Sus scrofa: one gene and its partners. The protein of the gene in region 4 interacts with the protein of the main gene of each other region in a biochemical or structural test. Links are inferred from orthologs where the notes say so. Each region holds a gene or a part of one and is shown on either strand. Other genes may lie near its edges. The genes, in order: ZFYVE9, ERBIN, SKI, SMAD2 and SMURF2.

Region 1 (3,512 bases), on a different chromosome or scaffold from region 4:
GAGTCAGTGTTTTTTATTTTCTATATGATGGTGGTTGGAGTTCCCAGCTACCAGATACTTCATTATTATTCTCAATCCCTCCATCTCCAAGTCTTTGTTCACTAAACTCTTTCCATTGCTATTTTAGTGACTGGTGCCAGTTTCTTTGTGTTCAGTGGCGCTCTGAAGTCCTCGTCGGGATATCTTGCCAAGTCCAGCATTGTGGAAGGTAACGAATGAGTTACTGCATGTACCTTATACAGTCGTAATTATACAAGGGTCATGAATGGAAGCCTTGACACTTTGGCGTTAGACTTCTGACTCGTTTATTCAGTAGCATCTCACTCAACAGGTAGTTAAAACTACCACAAGGGTGCCTTCTCTCCAGAGAAGGAAATAAGTGGGAGAAATACCATGGGACACCAACATAAAAATTAAGAGATGGCTTTTCAGAGAAAGACAAAATACCATGTGATGTCACTTCTATCTGGAGTCTAATATGTGGCACAAATGAACCTTTCCATAAAAAAGAAAATCATGGACTTGGAGAATAGACTTGTGGCTGCCAAGGGGGAGGGAGAGGGAGTTGGGTGGATGGGGAGCTTGGGGTTAATATATGCAGACTATTGCCTTTGGAATGGATTAGCAATGAGATCCTGCTGTGTAGCACTGGGAACTATGTCTGGTCACTTATGGAGCATGATAATGTGAGAAAAAAGAATGTGTACATGCATGTGTGACTGGGTCACCTTGCTGAACAGTAGAAAATTAACAGAACACTGTAAACCAGCTATAATGGAAAAAAAATAAAAATCATTCTATAAAAACAACAAAAAAAAAAAGAAAGAAAAGAAAAAGAGAGAGAGAAAGAGATAGCTTTTCAGAGCTAAGGTACCCAAGGGGACGTAGTCTGAGTTCAAATATATCATTGGGTGCGAATCTGTAAATATGCAGATGAATTTCAGCCCCTGTTATCCATGAGAATGCTGCAGTCACCATTTGGTGTACAGAATGATGCATTTGCTGCTGGTTTGCTATAATTAGATAGGACACATATCCTGACAAAAGTTAGTTTAATGAAAATCAGTGAAAGGCTAATGGGCATACTATTTATTGTCTTTGTCAATTATTCTTCACTGTATTTTGGTCTGGTTACTCTTGGTGCATAACAAATTAAACCAAAATTTAATGGCTTAAAACAGCTATTTTACTGTGCTCACTGATTCTTCTGCATCTGCCCTTGACAGGGCAATATAGGGATGGCTTGACCCTGCTCAGTGATGTCTGGGGACTCAGTTGGAATGCCTGAAGGGTGGTTGTTACCTGATGGCTGAGAGCTAGAATTATCTTAAAGTTTGTTGACTTATGTATCTGGAGCCTGTCCTGGGATGATTTAAAGACCAAAAGTAGTCCCTGGAGTCCTTGCACACTGGACTCCTTAGCATGCAGCTTTGGGATGGTTGGACTTCTTACACGGTGGCTCGGGACTCCAAGCACAAGTGTCCAGCACAAGGTAGAAGCCTCGTTGCTTTTTATGACCCAAACTCAAAAGTCCTACAGTGTCACTTCCACCATACTCTAGTGTTGGAAGTGGTCAAAAGCCTGCTCAAGGGCTGAGGACTTACTCTTTCTCGATGGGGAAATGGGAAAGTAGCATTGTAGGAAAGCACGTGAGACAGGAGGTATTGTGGTCGTCTCCGGAAAATACAATCCGTACCCGCAGTGACAGGTTTTCATTTCCACGTGAGCTCACTCCAGCACCTGAAGAGCAGTTCTTCTGAGGGTGGATTTCATTGTGTTCATTGAAATACATAGATAATCTTGTGTATGTTAATAGAGATTGATTTTGATCTCCTTTTTTGGTAAACTTAATAAAGCTGAAAGCGAAGAACAAAGCATGCTAATATTTCACAACTAAATGTCACAACTGCAGAGCAGAACATGCTATTAAGAAATTGTTAGGAAATCTAGGTGTTAAGTAGTTGTTTGGTCTTAGCGACTAATTAATGCCTGTGTGATCAAGTATTGACTGCATTTGAAATCTATCCTGACAAGATGATTAAAAAGCACCCTTTAAATGTTGTCAAAGTGATGATTCAAATGGACACAGATCCTTACAAATGCAGAGTAATTATATTTTAAAATTATGTCTTCGGGTTAGGAATTTCTTAGCTCTTATGTTTCACTAAATGTGCCAGTAGAGCACTTGGTTGCCCATTTATGAAAATTTTAGTCATGCTCTTCAGAAATTATTTCACCTGACAAAATTTTGTATTAACAAAGCAGGTTAATTGCTCAGCATGTGACAACTTTCACCCTCAGTTTTCAGTGTTTGCCTTTGACTTGGGTATGTAGCAGCCCCTAACAGTTATAATCTGTTGGCTATATGATAGCCCAGGTAAAACGTATGTGTAGGTTGGTCTTACTGTTAGTCAGTACATGAATTTATTCTCCTTCCCAGTGATTTATTTAACAAACACTGGGCATTCACTGTATGCAATCATAGGACAGTGGGAGAGACAGAAATGCAAAGAAATAGATATGATTAGAGCATGATAAATGTCACCGTGGAAGCAGGAACAGAATGCTCTCTCTGAGTCCAGAAGAGGGATGTGACTGTGCGTAAGTTTTCCCTTTGAACAGTCTCACGAGAAGCTCTCAGTTGTGCCTGAAGTGAAATCCATAGGTAGGAGTTTTAAGCAGACTCCATCTTGGCCTTTGCGCTTTGTAACACGTTCAGCCAGTAAGAGGTTCAGCTCAAAGAGCAAAACGTCTTTGCATCTGTCAGCTTTAGAGGGCAGAGCAGAGTTTTACATTAACCCTAGAGGGATTTGCTCGATGCCAGGAAGGGGTTTTGTCTCCCCTCCCTGGCTGTGCCTTGCTCCCACCTGTGTTATCTCGGTGCTGCTTCTCAGACGGCGTCATGGTCCAGATCACTGCGGAGAACATGGATGCCTTGCGGCAGGCTCTGCGGGAGATGAAGGACTTCACCATCACCTGCGGCAAGGCGGATGCTGAGGACCCCCAGGAGCACATCCTCATCCAGTGGGTGGATGACGACAAGGACGTCAACAAGGGGTAAAGCGCTGAGCTTCCCCGCTGCGGCACTTCCTTCTGGGCCAGGCTCTGGGTTTTGGCCATCCTGATGTTTTATAACTTTACTGAAAGCCCTGCCTACAAGAAAGGACGGCTTTGTACAATTTGCACATGGAATTTGTATTTCTGGTTTCTTGGCTTAATTTCTTTTCTTCTTTTCTTTTCTTTTTTTTTTTTTTTTTTCCAGGGCTGCACTTGAAACATATGGAAGTTCCCAGGCTAGGGGTCGAACTGGAGCTACAGCTTTGGCCTATGCCACAGCCACGGCAACACCAAATCCTTAACCCACTGAACAAAGCTAGGGATTGAAGCTGCATCCTCATGGATACCCATTGGGCTCCTAACCTGTTGAGCCACAACGGGAATTCCTCTTGACTTAATTTCTAAAGCAGTTTTGGTACATGTTTTTGAAGGGAGGATGAAGGAAGGAGTTGATG
Region 2 (4,295 bases), on a different chromosome or scaffold from region 4:
AGACAACTAGAAATTACAAAAAAAAAAAAAAAAAAATACTTTCCTATCTAACATCACTAAAACCTACAGAATCCCAAATACTTCATAATCACTACCATATTTATCTACAGGCAATAATTTAAAATAAATGCATAAATATGCACTTAATTTTCTGAAATTCTTGTCTCTTAAAGTGAGGTACTGTTTACTGCCATGAGCTCACTACCAAAATCTCTAAAATACCTGAGTTTTAGACATTTACCAATGATACACATCAAATGTCTCTAACTGTAGTTATTGCTTCATGAAGAAAAAACAAGCAATAAAAAATTGGTTCCCATATTGGAACCTCTGTAAGCTTTTTATACATGAAAAGTTGGCAATAATTTGTTCACAAACAGTAGGGAAACTTCATAATATCTGAATTAATTAGTTGAAAGATTAAGTTTATCACTTTTGAAAACTCCCAGTACCTTTAACAAACAGGGCCATCAAGTGCGCATTTTCTACAAACACCTTGGAAGTACTCCAGATTTGTGAATTTAATCTAAAAAACCCACAGAATACTAAGAAAAATATCCAAAATTTGAAGCCATTTTAAAATATTTTTATGACCATTTTTTAAACTTATTTTCAAACCACTGTCAAATTTTAAACAAAACTTTGAAAAATATTTACAGTTTGACAACAGTATAAAACCTAAAATTCATTAAGTTAATCCAGTGCTAAACTAATAAAATAAATAAACCTCAAAGTAAATTTTGCCTTGTTGAGGGGAAAAAGGAATCAAAGACAACTACAAAGGTGAACATCTTTTAAAACATGTTGTCTGCATCTATACATACTATGCTCCCTCAAGAAAAAAAATCAAGAGCTATATCTAACAACAGGCATTTAAATAGGTATTTTTGAGGACTATAATACTTCTTTCAAGTAAAATTTCCTAACACAGAGAAAGGAACACTTTCGCAAAGTGATAATTCTCTATAAAAGACTTGCTCTATTAAGGCTTTGTTGCTCTGAAGCCAAGTATAAACCATATAAGGAAACCGAAGTTCAATGCCATTTATTTTGTTCCCCTCTTTCAGATGCCCAAGAATAACCTCTTTCGTTGCCTAATTTTAAGTTCTAAAATCATAAAGTAGATCACTTACATACTTTAAATTATTTGATAAAGCTACTTTCACTTAATAGGAATTACTTGATGGTTCACAAAATCTTACCAACAATTTAAAAAACTACAAAATTGTTTTTAAAAAGGAGCTCCAGAGACTAAGCTCCAAGAAAAAAAAAAATCAAAACAATATATAGTAATAGTTAAAAGACCCCCTTTTTGAAACATACTTAATTTGAAGTAACAAAGAAAAAGTTGTGAAATTATTTGAACCTACTGTTTAAAACCTACCTTGTCTCTTTTTGGAACTAAAGAAAGCCAACCATTTTTCTTGTGGTGGCAAGGGCAAATAAATATTAATTTACATTTAAGATATATCTACAAACAAAATACCACGTTTATTTGACATTTATTCAAGAGCAGAGTTTATCTTTTACCTCCCTTTACCAAAAAAGCACGGGGGGGGGGGAACCAAACTTAAAAAGACACTCATTAAAAACACCACAGAAGAAACCGTCTGTGTCTGCAGCAACCAAAACTAGTTTGATCTATAAAGACTACCGACTGGTTCAGAAGTGTTTATATTTATAACTGACTGGTGGAATGTCACCGTGCTTCACTTAATCCCTGCCCCCACAGCAGATACTCATCACTTATTAGGTGGCAGACCCGGTCAAAACATTTGGGCCAACAACAACAAAAAAATGTAAATAATGTGCTAACCAAAAAGCACAGCTATTTATCACAATCACTGTGATGCCCATGAACACTGTTTTAAGCGTTTTACTTCCTTTCCTATACATTCAGTTCCGAATTGCACAGAAGTCCTAACAAATCAAACCACTTACAGGCATTCATGTTTGCTTTTTAATCATCACTCTTTAGCCGTAACACTTTTTCTCCCTACTAGGTCAGTTACAAGAAAAATCTTGTAGACAGTAGCTTGTAGACAACACCAAACAAGTATTATAAAGTTATAAATGTCCGAAAAGAACAAGTTACTGAAGACATATATATTACCCACCTGAAAAAACGACTAAGAACGGCAAAGAGTTTTTTGTTTATAAAACCCAATGAAACACAGTCATAAGAGTTGGAACTAAATAACTCCATATACATTTAAATGCAAAAGCAAAATAATCGGTAACAGTATAAACAAATACTGTGGCAGCCATCTCAACAGCAGCCGATTGCTCGCCGCAGTGACCTAACTTTCATCCAAAACAAAAGTTGTCAGGTTCAGCAACTTAATAAATCAAAAACATACATTGTATATGTTCCGGGAAACTAAGATTTCTGGACCTTCTGCTGAACAAAGGCATTCTTTCCTCGGAATTGCTTAAAACTTTTCGTCCCACCGCATTCTTACAACCTCTTCTAAAATGACCAGGGTCCAGATGGTAGAAAGGAGAATAAAATCAGTTCTACTGCTTTGCACCTAAATCACTACCCCGTCCGACAGGAGAGAGGGAGAATTTAGGGCAACTTGAGAAAAAGTGGAAAACACTAAAGTTTCCTCTCTTTCCTGGCCGGGGAGCTTTGTGACTCGCAGACACTTTGGGTGAAAATTACCTTTCGGTCGGGCAGTGTCTCAGGACAGCTTTTTCAAGGCTTCGCCTGACATGATTTCCTCCCCTTCATTAGTCACTTCGGATCCAGCCGAATTTCTCTCTCCGGTGAGAGCGGATGTGGAGTGGCCTCCCGCAGTAGGAAGAGTAGGTGGCTCCGGTGGGGGTTGGGAAGCGGGCTGGCTTCCTGGTCTCGAGTTTTGCAGGAGTTTCCCAGCCCCAACTAGGATCTCCGTCGAAAAAAAAACTTTTCACTCGTGACACCGCCCGGAATTACCGTGCGAAACTCACTTCCTGCCTTGGCGAGCAGCAGGATCCAGCTCGGTCCAGGGGAACCCGGAAAACCAGCTCCACGCGCGTCGGGCGGGGGAGGGCAGGGGGCGTCAGCCGAGAGCCTGGGACTCCGGGCGACCCGCGCGCCCCGATATCCGACGGCAGGCGAACCTGGCCCGCGGGGGCAAAGATGCCACCGGGGCGCTGGGAGAGCCTCTGCCGCGCTAGGCCGCCGCCGCCTCCTCGCCGCCACCCCCGGAGCCGGGCGGCGGGGTTATTGTCTCGGTAGCGCCTGCCGCGCCCTTCGCCCGCGCGGCCGCAGCCGCGGCCGCCCGGAGCCCGAGCCGAGGGGCCGGGCAGGCTCGATGGCGGCCCCCTCCCCCGGCCGGCCGTCGGGCTGTCCGTCCTTCCGTACGTCCCTCCCCGCCTTCCTTCCCTGCCCTCGAGCCCTCTTCTCCTCCCCCTCCTGTTTTCCCGCCACCGTCCCCTCGCTCCCCTCCTCGTTCTTCTTCCCTGGCGGCGGTGGCTCCCCCGGGAAGCGCAGGGGGTGGGGGCAGGCGGCGGCTTCGTCTCCTCACAAGCTCGCGGGGCCGCGGCAGGGGCCGAGACTGCGTCCCGCGCCGCCGCGCCACATTCACTCGAGCGAGAGACTGCGAGGGGCGGGGAGGGGAGGGGAGGGGAGGGGAGGGAGGGAGCGGAGAGAAAGGAGGAGGAAGGGGGCTGGGGCGGAGGGGAGTTACTGCCTCACAGGCCGCGGAGGCAACAGCGCCACCGCCCCGGCGGCGAGGGGGGAAGAGGCTGCGCGCGGCGGCGGCTCCGCGGCGGGGGCGGGGCGGCCTCCCGCCCGCTTCGCCCCAACCTCCAACAGCCGGGCTGGAGGCCGGCGCGAGCCAGTCACCGCGCGCGGGGGCGGTGCGGGCCGACGTCGGTGGCGGCGGGGGGCGGCGGCGGCAGCGGGGGGTGATAGTCTTGGGGGCCCGGGAGGCGGGGCCGGCGGCCGGGGGTTCGCGAGCTAGGTCCGGCGTGAGGCCAGCTCTGGCCCAGGCCCGGGAGGCCTGCGTGCTGCTCCCCAGCCGCCCAAGGTGGGGATGCGGGCGAAGTCGATCCCGGCTGCCCTGCGCCCAGCCTGGAAGAAGAGAGTCCTTGGAGTTTCCGTCGTGGCGCAGTGGTTAACGAATCCGACTAGGAACCATGAGGTTGCGGGTTCGGTCCCTGCCTTGCTCAGTGGGTTAACGATCCGGCGTTGCCGTGAGCTGTGGTGTAGGTTGCAGACGCGGCTCGGATCCCGCGTTGCTGTGGCTCTGGCGTAGGCCGGTGGCTACAGCTCCGATTCAACCCTAGCCTGGAACCTCCATATGCCG
Region 3 (4,263 bases), on a different chromosome or scaffold from region 4:
ATCACCAGCATGCTCCGGCCTCCCCTCCAGGCCACCAGCTTGGGCCAGGCCTTCCCTGAGCCTGCGGACACCAGGGCCCGGAAGGGCCTTCAGCGATGACAAAAAGCAGACCCCAGCAAGACAGTCCCAACCACCCAGGACCCAGACCAGGACCCAGACGGGCACACACCCTGCCGCAGTCCCAACCACCCGTGGACCCTCTGCTGTCCACTCTGGAGCAGAGGAACCCGCCACAGCCTTGCCCACCACAGGCTTAACCAGCCCGCCAGAACCCACCAGCGCCGGCAAGATGGCTGTCGAGGGAGCGGGCACCCCAGGCCCCGGGGAGCACCCATCACGCCACCCACAGCCAACAGCAGCCTGCACGACGGGCCTGGCCAGCCTGCTGAGATCTGCCGGCAGCCGTTCCCATGGGCACCCTCCCCCACCGAGCTGCCCACCCAGACCGGCTCCCCCACCCCGTGCCAACTCCACAGCCTGCAGACAGCTGCCACCTGGGCGCTGGCCTAGCCAAGGGCAGCACCACCACCAGATACACGGACGCACACGCGGTGGCCCCTCTGAGCGCGGGCAGCAGGCCCTTATTCCCTCCCCTCCTCCGCTCCCTGAGACTCTGACACTCCGCTGGAGAGGCGCCCAGAGAGAACTGGGGGGAGCATCTATTCACAGATTTGGAAAAAAAAAAGTTTGATGCAATAGCTGAATTAATTAGGCCTCCCAAGAATAGCTGAGCCAGTGCAGCATTCTGTGTGTGCAATTTAATAAGCCTGCATATTTCAAAGAAAAGTTGCAAATACTTGGGGCGGGGGGAAGACGCCATGAAAAGTTGGTGTCGACCCTGATGGAGGGCTGGGGCGCCTGGTGGCCCGGGAGCAGCCAGGCCGGATCACACAGACCCCCAGCCTGGCAAACAACAGCGCCTCGGCCAGCGGCCTCCCTGCTGCACCCTTCGGCGTTTCAGCGAGAAGGAAACAAGGAGATAAGGACATGTCCAAAACGAATCACAGGCCGGCGGCTACCCTGACACCCGGGGCCCTGGGTGCCCGCTGACCAGTCCCCAAGCCCTGTGCCAAGCAGCCCTCGCCCCCACACGGGGGACTCCACAATTCACTGCCTGCCAGGCCAGGGCAGACACAGAGAGCTGGAGTCGCCAAGTCTCGGCCCCCTGCCACCAGGGCCTGGACACCTGGCTTGGGCTTTGAGTCTGTCTCCCGAGACTTCAAGGCACAAACAGGCCCCGCCTGGCCAAGTTCTGCCTGCTGGGAAGTGCCAGGCACCCCGTGTGCGAGCCTGGGAGCTTGGGGGCCAGGGCAGTCCCCCTCGCGCATGGGGGCTGGACACTTGCTTTGGGCCCGAGGAAGGACTGGACTTGGAGCTCCAGCTTGGGCCCAGCCAGAACCACTTTCCCGGGGACTCGGGACAGAGAGTCCAAGGTCTGCAGCCTGCCCCTCCCGGCTGTCTGGGCAATGACCGTGGGCCTCAGCAAGGCTTCGCCCACCAAGCCTGCCCCAGGCTCCCCAGGGCTCCCAACCAGGCCAGCCTGGCTCAGGCTGGGAGTCAGACAGGAGGCTCTTCCTCCCGGGCTACCTGGCCCTCTAGGGGGACAAGGACACTCCCCTGCCCCCCCACCCCAGTCTCCTTAAAACAAAACAAAACAAAACACCGAGACGTGTGGAGGCGGAGGAAGCACAGGTCGCACCGCGCGCCCCAGCCCCTGCCCACAGCCACCACCCCCCCCCCACCGCCGCCGCCCCCCCCCAGGCGCGCCGCCGCCGCTCGCAGGACACTCACCCGGGGCGCCCGCCTCTTGTACTTGTTGCCGTAGTCGAACTTCTCCTTGACGTCGTCCAGGCATCTGCCGAGGCGCGCCTGCTCCTCCTTGCCGGTGTAGTCCTGGCTCAGCAGGATGTAGGCCCGCCAGTTGGCCGAGTCGAAGCCCCAGTGGCAGGTCCGGTTCTCCAGGGCCTTGTGCGAGTGCACCACGAACTTATGCGGTGGGTACAGGAGAGAGCAGTCCAGGCACTGGATGCAGGCGGCGCTCGGGCTGCTGTACAGCTCGGGGACCAGCAGTCCCTTGCACTTGCCGAAGCACTCGTGGTACACGCGCACGCTGCGCTCGCTGCGCTCCAGGCCCAGCGCCAGGCTGGCGGCCAGCTCCTGCTTGCAGGGCGGCGGGTAGGCGCCGCCGTAGAGCAGCGCGTTGCACAGGCGCTCGGCGTCCGTCTTGGTGATGAGCCCGCACGAGGGCGCCGAGAAGGGCAGGATGCCCATGACTTTGAGGATCTCCAGCTGGTCGGCCGTGCAGCGCGAGCAGTAGATGTGCAGCTCGTCGCACACCGAGTTGATCTGCTGCAGCGAGAAGTCGCGCAGCACCGAGTTGAGGATCTGCGGCAGACACAGGCGCTTCTCGCCGCCCACCACGAAGCACGAGATGGTCTCGCCCTCCAGCACGGTCTCGCAGCGCTCCGTGGAGCGGTCGGACGGCATGAAGAAGGGCCCGGGCAGCACGGGCGGCGGCGGCTGGATGGCGGGCAGGTGCAGCACCGGCGGAGGCTCGGCGGCCGCGGGCACCGGCGCCGGCACCGCGGCCGCGCCCGCCTCCTTGGCGCTCTCCTTCTTGTAGGCCTCCTGCGCCCAGCGCGCCGAGAAGGCGGCCGGGCCGCCCAGCGAGCTCATGGAGCTCAGGTGGAACTGCTCCAGCGTCTTCTGCAGCCCCGGGTGCGGCTGAAAGCCGCCCCGGCCGCCCGCCGCCGCCTCCATGGTGCGCTCCGGCTCCCCAGGCCGCTCCCGCTCCCGCGCGCCCGGGCCCCCGCGGCCCCCGCCGCCGCCGCCCCGCGCGCCCCGGCGGCGCCCCCGGCCCCGGCCCCGGCCGCCCCCCGCCACCGGCTCCCGGCCGATCACGGCCGCGGCCTCGGCCTCGCCCGGGGGCGCGAAGGGGAAGGCGGGCGGGGCGAAGGGGTCCCGCCGCTGCAGCCCGCCGCCGCCCGGGCCCGGCGCCACATCCACGCGCCCCGCGCCGCGCCCGCCGCCGCCCGGGCCCCCGCGCGCCCCCCGCGCGCCCCCCGGGCCCTAGGCGCGGGGCATGCCCCAGCGCGCGCCGCCAACGCCAACGCCAACGCTCGCGGGCCCGGGGCTCGCGGGGGGCGCGCGGGCAGGTGCCGGCGCCGCGAGGCGCGAATCGCCGCGGCGGCCGAGGCCGAGGGGCCCGGGAGGAGCGGGGGCGCGGGCGCGGGGCCCGCCGGGCCGTCCTCGCGCGGCGCGCCGCCGCCGCCGCCCCGCTCCTCCCACCGCGCGGCGCCCGCCCGGCTCGTCCCGGCGGCGCTGGCCGGCCGCGTCGCGCCCGCCGCCGGCCTCCCGGCCCGGCCCGCGCCCACCCCGCCGCCCGCGCCCGGCTCCGCGGCCTGCCCGCCCGCCCGCGCGCGCGCGCGCGCGGCTTCCGGGGCGGCGGAGCGCCTGTGGCGGCGGCCTCAGACCGCGGCGGCGGCGGCGGCGCGGAGATCGGCGCACATCCTCCCGGCGGCTCGCTCCAGCTCGGACTGAGCGCCGGGCGCTGAGCTCACGCCGCCGCCCCGCCCCGCGCCCCGCCCCGCGCCGCGCCGCCGCCCCGCCCCGCGCGTCGTCTGGGGCCGCGCGTCCGCCTCAGCCGAGCGCCGGCCTGGAATGCGCCGGCCCCCCGACCCGGCTCTTCCAGGAACGCGCGCTCCCCCCGCCCACGCCCGGCGCTCGGCCGCGCTCGGCCGCGCTCGGGCCCGTCCGCCCGGGACTCGGCTCCGCTCGGCCCAGCCCGCCGGGGACTCGGGTCTGCTCGGCTCCGCTCGGCTCCGCTCGGCCGCAGCCGCCAGGGGTTCAGCGCTGTTCGGCGCCGATCGGCCCCACCCGCCGGAAGGCGGCTCCGCGGGGGCGACGGCGGCGCCCCAGGCCCCTCATCCGGCGGAGGCCGCTTCCTGCGCGGCCGCGAAGGCCCCCGGCCCGCCGCCCCGTCGCCACCAGAGCCCAGAAACCCACACGGGGCCCCCACCACAACCGCAGACCAGCTGAGGAGCGGACAGGACGGGCCGCGCGTCCTCCATCAACGCCGCGGTCCCCACGCACACGATGGGGACACCAGGCAAAATGATCCAAGTCGCACATAGTACAGGGACACCAAGCAACACGATGTGGGTTAGGAGTGCAGCACCCCGGAGACACACACCCCCCCCGCAGGAGACAGACCCCGTGCAGCCTGTCCTGGGGACCGACCGCCAAGGCATGACTGCTGGCAGG
Region 4 (4,202 bases):
TAACCCAACTCAGGAGTCTTCTTTACCTAACACCGAGGACTCCACTCTCACCCAACCACGCTGGGGTTCAGGGTGAACCCCTAAGTGCAGGATGTGGGGGCTCCTCACACCCACACAGCCTCTCGCTCCTGCCATATGCCACCTCCAACTCCCAGGACACCCTTCACCAGTTCTGGCCAACTGCCACCCTCAATACCACAGAGCCTCTCTGGAGGGATTCAGCTTCTCCTGAAAAGTCCTCCTTGACATCCACTCAACCCAGGCATCAATCTTTCTCCAGCAGGAAACTTTCCACACAGCATGGAGTAGGGAAGGCTCCCCCTCTTTGGACATAGGTCCCTAAGCATACATCTTTCAGAACAACCCCTGGATGTTATGAAATTATCTTTCTTCTTTTTTAAAGTTTATCTTCCTTTCTAGAAAGTAAGCAACTCAAGAGCAAAGACTTTTATGTTTCTAAATGTTTACTGAACTGAAACATCAGACACTATACAATGAAAAATCAACAAATATGGCCTGACTTATTCCTAGCCAATTCATTAGCAAATCCTGTCAGTTCAGCTTCCAACCAGATTCATCCACTTCCCGAGTTACCACCACCTCGCCAGCCCAGCCTAGCCTCTGGCATCTCCATTCTGGATTACTTTAACAGTCGCCTCATTCCTCTGCGTCCACACCACTATACCACACCAGTCTATAACACACATGCCCACACACTCCACTATCCACACCCTCTTGTCTCCAGCAGCCAGAGTGATCTAAGATATAAAGATAAAAATTTCTTCTAAAATTTACTTAAATTTAAAAATCCACTTTAAAAATCTTCATTTGCTTCCTATTGTACTGGGACTAAAATCCAAACCGCCTCCTGATGCCCCATCTAATCTGACTCCTCCCAAGCCTTGTGCTCATTTGGTGTTACTGCATCTCTACTTCGATCCATTAAGTCTCCAATACGACAAGCTATGTCCCACCCTGGCGTCTGTATGCTTGCCCCTTCCTCTGCCTAGAAGACTTCCTTCAGCTACCTGCTACTTCTCCAAGTTTAGCTTAAGTGTCACAATCCAATCCAAAGCAGCTTTTTAATCCTTCAGTCACTGTCTTTTGTCCTCATTACCATCTCAAATTACATTAATTTGTCCACTTGTTTACAGTGTGTATCTGTCCCTCAGGAGGGCAGGAACTCCGCATTTCATCCATGCTGTGTCCCATATGCCTAAAACCAGTGCCTTTCACACGGAAGGCATCCATAAGCATTTCTAAAACAAAAGAATAAACCAAGAAAAGTGACCCTTACTTAAGAAATACCTGAAACAAGGAGTTCCCATTGTGGCTCAGTGGAAACGAATCTGACTAGCATCCATGAGGATATAGTTTTGATCCCTGACCTCGCTCAGTGGGTTAAGGATCCAGCATTGCTGTGAGCTGTGGTGTAGGTTGCAGATGCGGCTCAGATCCGGCGTTGCTGTGGCTGTGACACAGGCCAGTGGCTACAGCTTCAATTCGATCCCTAGCCTGGGAACCTCTATATGCCATGGGTGTGGCCCTAAAAAGCAAAAAAATAAAAATAAAAGTTAAAAAAAAAAAAGAAATACATGAAACAAGGTAAAAGAAATGGAAAGTAATCGGTAATTTTGTTTTATTACCAAACAAAACAAGGCAGGAAACATTCTAGTTAGTATCTGCAAGAAAGAAAGGCTGGTGTCACTGGGAGCTATTATCACAAGCATCCAGAGTTATTTCCCAAAACTCATTAGAAACATGTCAAGTAGAATGGTTTCATGTGCCATATGCTAGCCTATGTGTATGGCACTGCAAACAATCATTTTAGAAAATGCTATAAACTCACACTCCCCATAACCCTGCAATGTGCACAACTACAGTAGTGTACACTACAACACTTAAAAACTACTCGTTATGCTATTTGAAAAACCAGAATTTCTGACAGTGGTAATGATCTGTAAATGATTAAATTTATACTAATAAAACTTCAACCTCTTAGGTAACAGGTCCTTCTCTTATACGAGGCAGGTCTTCAAGACAGGATCTGACTATGGCACCTAAGAAGCTGCCTCATATACTGTTCTTTCTTAGAAATAATGCTGCAACTCAAACAAAAGCCATAACTCGTCACAATGTTAGCAGCCTCTGTTAACTCCTTACTGAAGTTTTGACCAGAGGAGCAGGAAACTGTCAGTCACTACTGCACTAGTGATACAAAAATCTTTGAATCTTTATTCAAATGTCACTCAATCACAAAAATTAGGATAACATACAATGAAGCATTTAGGCAATGAAGGCAAATGAAGACAGTGAAGATAAACCTTAGTAAAATCTAAGTATTTTATTTTGCTTGATTAAACTTTCTCGCTGTTCAAGAAAAGGATTTATAAAATAAACAAGTCTTATCGTGTCCAACAAAATTAATATGACAGGTTAGAAATAGATTTCATATTTTAATAATCACTATTGACAGGTGAATTGCATGTAACAAAATTTCAGTAACTTTCCTGCAGATTCCTTTAAGCAATTTTCAACAGGATGGCCATCAAGTTTCTGACCTAACCACACTTACCTTGGTATGGTAACACATTTAGTATTACAATTTTGAGTGGTGATGGCTTTCTCAAGCTCATCTAATCGTCCTGTTTTCTTTAGCTTCTTCACCAAACTTTTAACTGCTTTCTCACACCACTTCTCTTCCTGTCCATTCTGCTCTCCTCCACCTGCTCCTCCAGATCCACCAGCTGACTTCTTCCATCCCAGCAGTCTCTTCACAACTGGCGGAGTGAATGGCAAGATGGACGACATGTTCTTACCAAAGGCAGCGGTCCACACTAAGAAAATATCCTCCTTAATCTAACCTAGAAAAGATATGGAAAGGACAGTTGAGAGGCTAACTTTACCATCAACTACTGCTTTCAACACAGGAGCAAAAGCAAATTACAAAATGAGATAAGAAATTCAAATTATTACTTTCAGAACAGACTTTCAGAAGTTATCTTTTTCACCCATGACAAGTCTTCACGAATTTAAATGAACTGTGGAAACAAATCCTTCTAAAAACAAGACAATGATAAGTGGGCCAAGAGAACAATTTTGCAAGACAGAAAATTTTTTTATCTTTATCAACACTGGACCATTAATCACTACCCATACTACTATATTTTTACCTTTTAATAGTAGCAATAAAATATTTTCACTAAAACAAAGTTTTCCTTATGTTTTTAGAATTTCAGTCTATTCTCAAGACACTTAACAAAAATACATTTTTTTAATTTACAGGGCCAATCTCCCCGAAGTTTTAAACTTTCATAACTATCATAAAGTAAAGTCTAAGGTCATAACAAGGGGAAAGGAGAAAGGCATCAAGTGTGAAGTAAACAACCAGAAGTAAAGGTAACGAGAGACTGTGAGGAAGAGATGTGGTTCACTTTGAGAAGACTTTTAATTAAGCTTCATTTTAAAAATATTTTTTTCTCTATCTAAGTAACAACCCACATAGTGGATAAAGTCAAATAAAGCTCTTCTCCCCACACCAAGGTACAACTCTTTAAAATCTTTGAACCTTTACTCTTGCTATTTATACCTAAGCAATGGTCCCCCTTGAAGTATCAAGTTAAATATACCTATTGAAAATGAAGATTTACACCACAATCACTTGCTTTTCCTCCAGCCCTGAAAATAATTATCTTCCAACTGTAGTTTTATACCTGAAGAGATTAGTAGTAAACTACTATATAATCCTGTTTCCTTTTTTGTACATCTCTTTCTTTTTCTCCAGAGCTAATTATGTCAGTTTTTCATCTGCCTAGTTTTCTAAGCACCTACCATAAATTCTTCCTACTCTCTCTACCAAGTCCCTCAATTAAAATTTAATGTCAACAGCTTTAATCTCAAAGTAAGAGATAAGAACATTTACCACTGAGGGCAGAACTAGAGAGTTTAGATTTGAGAAGAATGGAAAAGATTTAGAAATGCAGCTCTGAGAAATACTGTAGAAAATCAAACTGAGTGAGGTCAGATAAATTTTATCAGGTATTTGCCAGACTATATATCAGAAAGTATTCCATGAAGGAGTTCCACTTCTAAACAGGATGTAGCAAATCACAAGAGACCATCACTTTCACCCTAACAAACAAAACAAGACAGATAAACTATAAAATCATGGTTTTTCTGAACCCGTCTAAAAGTTAAAGATG
Region 5 (3,512 bases), on a different chromosome or scaffold from region 4:
AGCAATACACCTATTCGGGTATCCTTTACATCGCACACAATAGGGAGTATTACGCTAGAAAACACGTATCAATGAGAAAGCGACGCCACAGGAAATATCTTAAATTTGCGAACATGAGGATCCACACATCAGTTACTGAGAAGCAAGTCTTCACCTGGCAACTCCTCCGTAGTCAAGGCCTTCTTCTCCACGAAATTTTATCATTAATCGCTTCCAGAGATCTTTTGGTCTCATTTTCATGACTTGCCGATATGATTCCTGAAAAAAACATTTAATACACTATTATTACTAGGTGCCTTTAACCTATTACTTAAACTCTCCCTCCCATTCCACCTACAAAACATATGTTTATTTAAATAAGGTGGAAATTGTTTATCAAATCAACAGATAAACTCCAAGTGTTTGAAATCTAAACAAACTTCTAAAAACAAAATGTGATATAGCTTAAAACTACTGGAACCAATTCATTTGATAAATATTATATTAAAAGCCTACTAAGTGCAAAACTCCATATTTAAGTCCTCTGAACCATAGCAATGATTCCACTCACATCAAAAAACAGAAGTTCATAGCAGGACCAAACTTTTTTATTAACCTCTAGGTCACAGACACCGTAGAAAGTAAAGTTAAGAAAAAGAAGTTTCAGAAAACATAAGTAGTCATTAATGTAATCTTCATTAAACTGACAACTTTGTATTATTTTAAAAATACAAATGACGGACTACAAATAAGGTCAGAACTGTTCTGAGAGAAAAAAGTTGATCCTTTGGGAGAAGGATTACAAAGTCGCCCAAACGTCTACTGCCTAAGAACCCTTAATGAGTGGGAAACCCTGCCTTGGACCTCTGCCACTTACTATGTAAGAACTTTGCTATTAGAGCTATAAAATCCAAAGATAAAGGATATACTAGAAAGGAAGATTTTCAATAAATTAAGGAAGTAGTCCAACAGTAATGAAACAAAGGGATTTTCTGACTTAAGAGTCCCTTACCTTTTGGAAGAATCAGAAAATAAGGGATGGATAGTATTGTAGACTTTTAAAATTCAAATCAAATAAATATTTGCAATACATAGATCAAGCTGCACAGAGTATCTCACACTCCCTCTTACTTATATGTTTATCTTATATTAAATGTCTCCAGTATTATTGCCTTTATTCTCCACAATTAAAAAAGAAATTAATGATGAACAACAAAGTCCTACTATATAGGGAGCTATATTCAATATCCTATGATAAATCACAATGGAAAATATTTAAATAAAAGGACGTATGTATATGTGTAATTGAATCATCTTGCAGTAGCGCAGAAATTAACACAACATTGTAAATCAACTATACTTCAATTAAAAAAAATTAATGAAAATTCTTCCATTCTAGGAGTTCCCTTGTGGTGCAGTAGGTTAAGGATCCAACACTGTCTTGCAGCAGCTTGGGGTGCTGCCGTGGCACAAGTTCAGTCCCTTACCAGGGAACTTCACATGCATTGGGCACAACCAAAAAAAAAAAAAGGAAGTAAAATTCTCCCATTCTAAAGAGACCTAAGTGCCCCAAAATATACTTGGAAAACAGAATAAATCAGTGAAATTTAATTTTTTCTCTATTTTAGAGTAAGACTTGAAGTTTACCTCTTTGCTGTATAGCAGAAATTGACAGAACACTGCAAATCAACTACACTTCAATTAACTATAAAAAAAGTTTACCTCAAAAATCTCTTCCCTGGAAACCTCAATGCGACAATGGCCAGCCTGAGGCTGTTGCTGGGAAAGTTCTTGCCGCAGAATTTTTAGCTTCTGAACCAGGTCTCGTTTGTACCGTGGGACTGTCAGACACTCTGTGTCATCAGGACATAACGATACCACCTGCTGCTGCTGCTGGTCTTTCAACTGGTTCTGTCGACTAAAAGTACACAAATATTACTAAAGTATTTTAAACAAAAAAGACAGCAATCATATATTTAAAATAGCATCATACTCTAAACCAAGTCTAGCTATATCATTCTAGGCCTTATTATATTCTTAGCCTGACATTTTTGACAACAATAAACTAATTCTAAAGTTTATCTCTCAGAATTTATGGACTTGGATAATAGAGTTTTATCTCAAAAGCTTTATACAGCTGCTGAGAACAACTTTCTCAAATACCATTTCCATTTTCTTCCGCATAGTTTACCATCACTCATTTTAAAATTCAGGCACATGCCAAAGCCTGGCCCTGTTATCTAGAGTCCGTCTCTCTGGAATAGACAAACTTTGAACTGGCAGCTTGACAGGGCCCCCTTCAAGGCACGCTACAGTCTAGACCACAGGTCACGTGGAAATTATTGGCACAGAGAAATGAGAACTTTACAAACAAGTCTAAATGCTTTATGACAACTTCTTATTGTGGTAAAATACACGTAACATAAACTTTACATTTTAACCATTTTTAAGCATTGTAGTAAGTGGCATTAAGTACATTCACATTGTCTACTGTGCTGAAGTGACTTCTAACTGCACATATATGATTTACCATAAATACATGTAAATAATCTCCCAAGTACAGCAGAAATATAACAATTTTTAAAAGGCACACTGCCTAATAATATATTTATTCTTTGGCAAAAATATAAGTTGCATCTAAGAATTTTTAAGACTCTTACGATATAATGAATAGTTAATTCCAATAAACAGTCAGGAAATTAAAAGTCAGAGAATTTACTATGGACATCTATGCAGACCTTGAGTGATTCAGCTGGAATTTTACATACAAGACTACAATCTCCTAACTTACAAGTGAAGAGTAATGATAGCTATGAGGAAATAAAAAAAAAAAAAAAAAAAAACCTTCAGTTCACTAACAAATCACTCAACTTACTTTATATACGTGATTCTTAAATACCATGCTAAACTTTATACCTGGAACATTTAACTAATAACTATCCAGAGAAAAAAGCAGCTTTGATAAAAATTATAAATCACTATTTACTACTCTTGTAAACATTATAATAAAGGTGTTATATATATATATGTATGTATACACACATATATAAATCAAAACAAATATATAAAAACTCCTAAAATACACCTTAACTATATTAATCTATACTCCCCTAAAAGAACTGGTGTATACCTTACACCAAATACAAAACTCAAAACGGATCAGAGACCTTAATGTAAATCTCAAGCCACGAAATCTTTGAAACACAGTTAGAAAACTTATATGACTGATGTCAGGGAAAGATTTCTTAAATATGATCCCAAAAGCACAATGATAAAAGTACAAATAGATAAAATGAACTTCATTGAAATTTCAAAGAAACTTTCTGCTTTCAAAAGACACTATTAAGAAAATGAAAAGGAGTTCCCGTCATGGCTCAGTGGCTAACGAATCCAACTAGGAACCACGAGGTTGCAGGTTCGATCCCTGGCCTTGCTCAGTGGGTTAAGGATCCGGCGTTGCTGTGAGCTGTGGTGTAGGCCACAGACATGGCTCAGATCCCAGTTGCTATGGCTCTGGCGAAGGCCGGCAGCTA

The links.
Region 1: the proteins of SMAD2 (region 4) and ZFYVE9 are reported together in a solved structure, tested with the Homo sapiens proteins (2 studies listed by BioGRID and IntAct, with this or other methods). The link is inferred for Sus scrofa from reciprocal best matches to the Homo sapiens genes SMAD2 and ZFYVE9.
Region 2: the proteins of SMAD2 (region 4) and ERBIN form a complex in vitro, tested with the Homo sapiens proteins (2 studies listed by BioGRID). The link is inferred for Sus scrofa from reciprocal best matches to the Homo sapiens genes SMAD2 and ERBIN.
Region 3: the proteins of SMAD2 (region 4) and SKI form a complex in vitro, tested with the Homo sapiens proteins (4 studies listed by BioGRID). The link is inferred for Sus scrofa from reciprocal best matches to the Homo sapiens genes SMAD2 and SKI.
Region 5: the proteins of SMAD2 (region 4) and SMURF2 form a complex in vitro, tested with the Homo sapiens proteins (3 studies listed by BioGRID and IntAct, with this or other methods). The link is inferred for Sus scrofa from reciprocal best matches to the Homo sapiens genes SMAD2 and SMURF2.

Annotation. Positions count from the first base shown.
Region 1 is NC_010448.4:159,882,466-159,885,977, reverse strand, and holds part of ZFYVE9 (zinc finger FYVE domain-containing protein 9), read left to right. Parts: intron 1-127; coding exon 128-208; intron 209-2,894; coding exon 2,895-3,057; intron 3,058-3,512. UniProt on the Homo sapiens protein: Early endosomal protein that functions to recruit SMAD2/SMAD3 to intracellular membranes and to the TGF-beta receptor.
Region 2 is NC_010458.4:44,414,497-44,418,791, reverse strand, and holds the start of ERBIN (erbin), read right to left. Parts: upstream 2,804-4,295; 5' UTR 2,666-2,803; intron 1-2,665. UniProt on the Homo sapiens protein: Acts as an adapter for the receptor ERBB2, in epithelia. By binding the unphosphorylated 'Tyr-1248' of receptor ERBB2, it may contribute to stabilize this unphosphorylated state.
Region 3 is NC_010448.4:64,186,810-64,191,072, reverse strand, and holds the start of SKI (ski oncogene), read right to left. Parts: upstream 2,809-4,263; 5' UTR 2,761-2,808; coding exon 1,792-2,760; intron 1-1,791. UniProt on the Homo sapiens protein: May play a role in terminal differentiation of skeletal muscle cells but not in the determination of cells to the myogenic lineage. Functions as a repressor of TGF-beta signaling.
Region 4 is NC_010443.5:97,481,412-97,485,613, forward strand, and holds the start of SMAD2 (mothers against decapentaplegic homolog 2), read right to left. Parts: upstream 2,813-4,202; 5' UTR 2,812-2,812; coding exon 2,576-2,811; intron 1-2,575. UniProt on the Homo sapiens protein: Receptor-regulated SMAD (R-SMAD) that is an intracellular signal transducer and transcriptional modulator activated by TGF-beta (transforming growth factor) and activin type 1 receptor kinases.
Region 5 is NC_010454.4:14,469,675-14,473,186, reverse strand, and holds part of SMURF2 (E3 ubiquitin-protein ligase SMURF2), read right to left. Parts: intron 1,898-3,512; coding exon 1,702-1,897; intron 259-1,701; coding exon 155-258; intron 1-154. UniProt on the Homo sapiens protein: E3 ubiquitin-protein ligase which accepts ubiquitin from an E2 ubiquitin-conjugating enzyme in the form of a thioester and then directly transfers the ubiquitin to targeted substrates.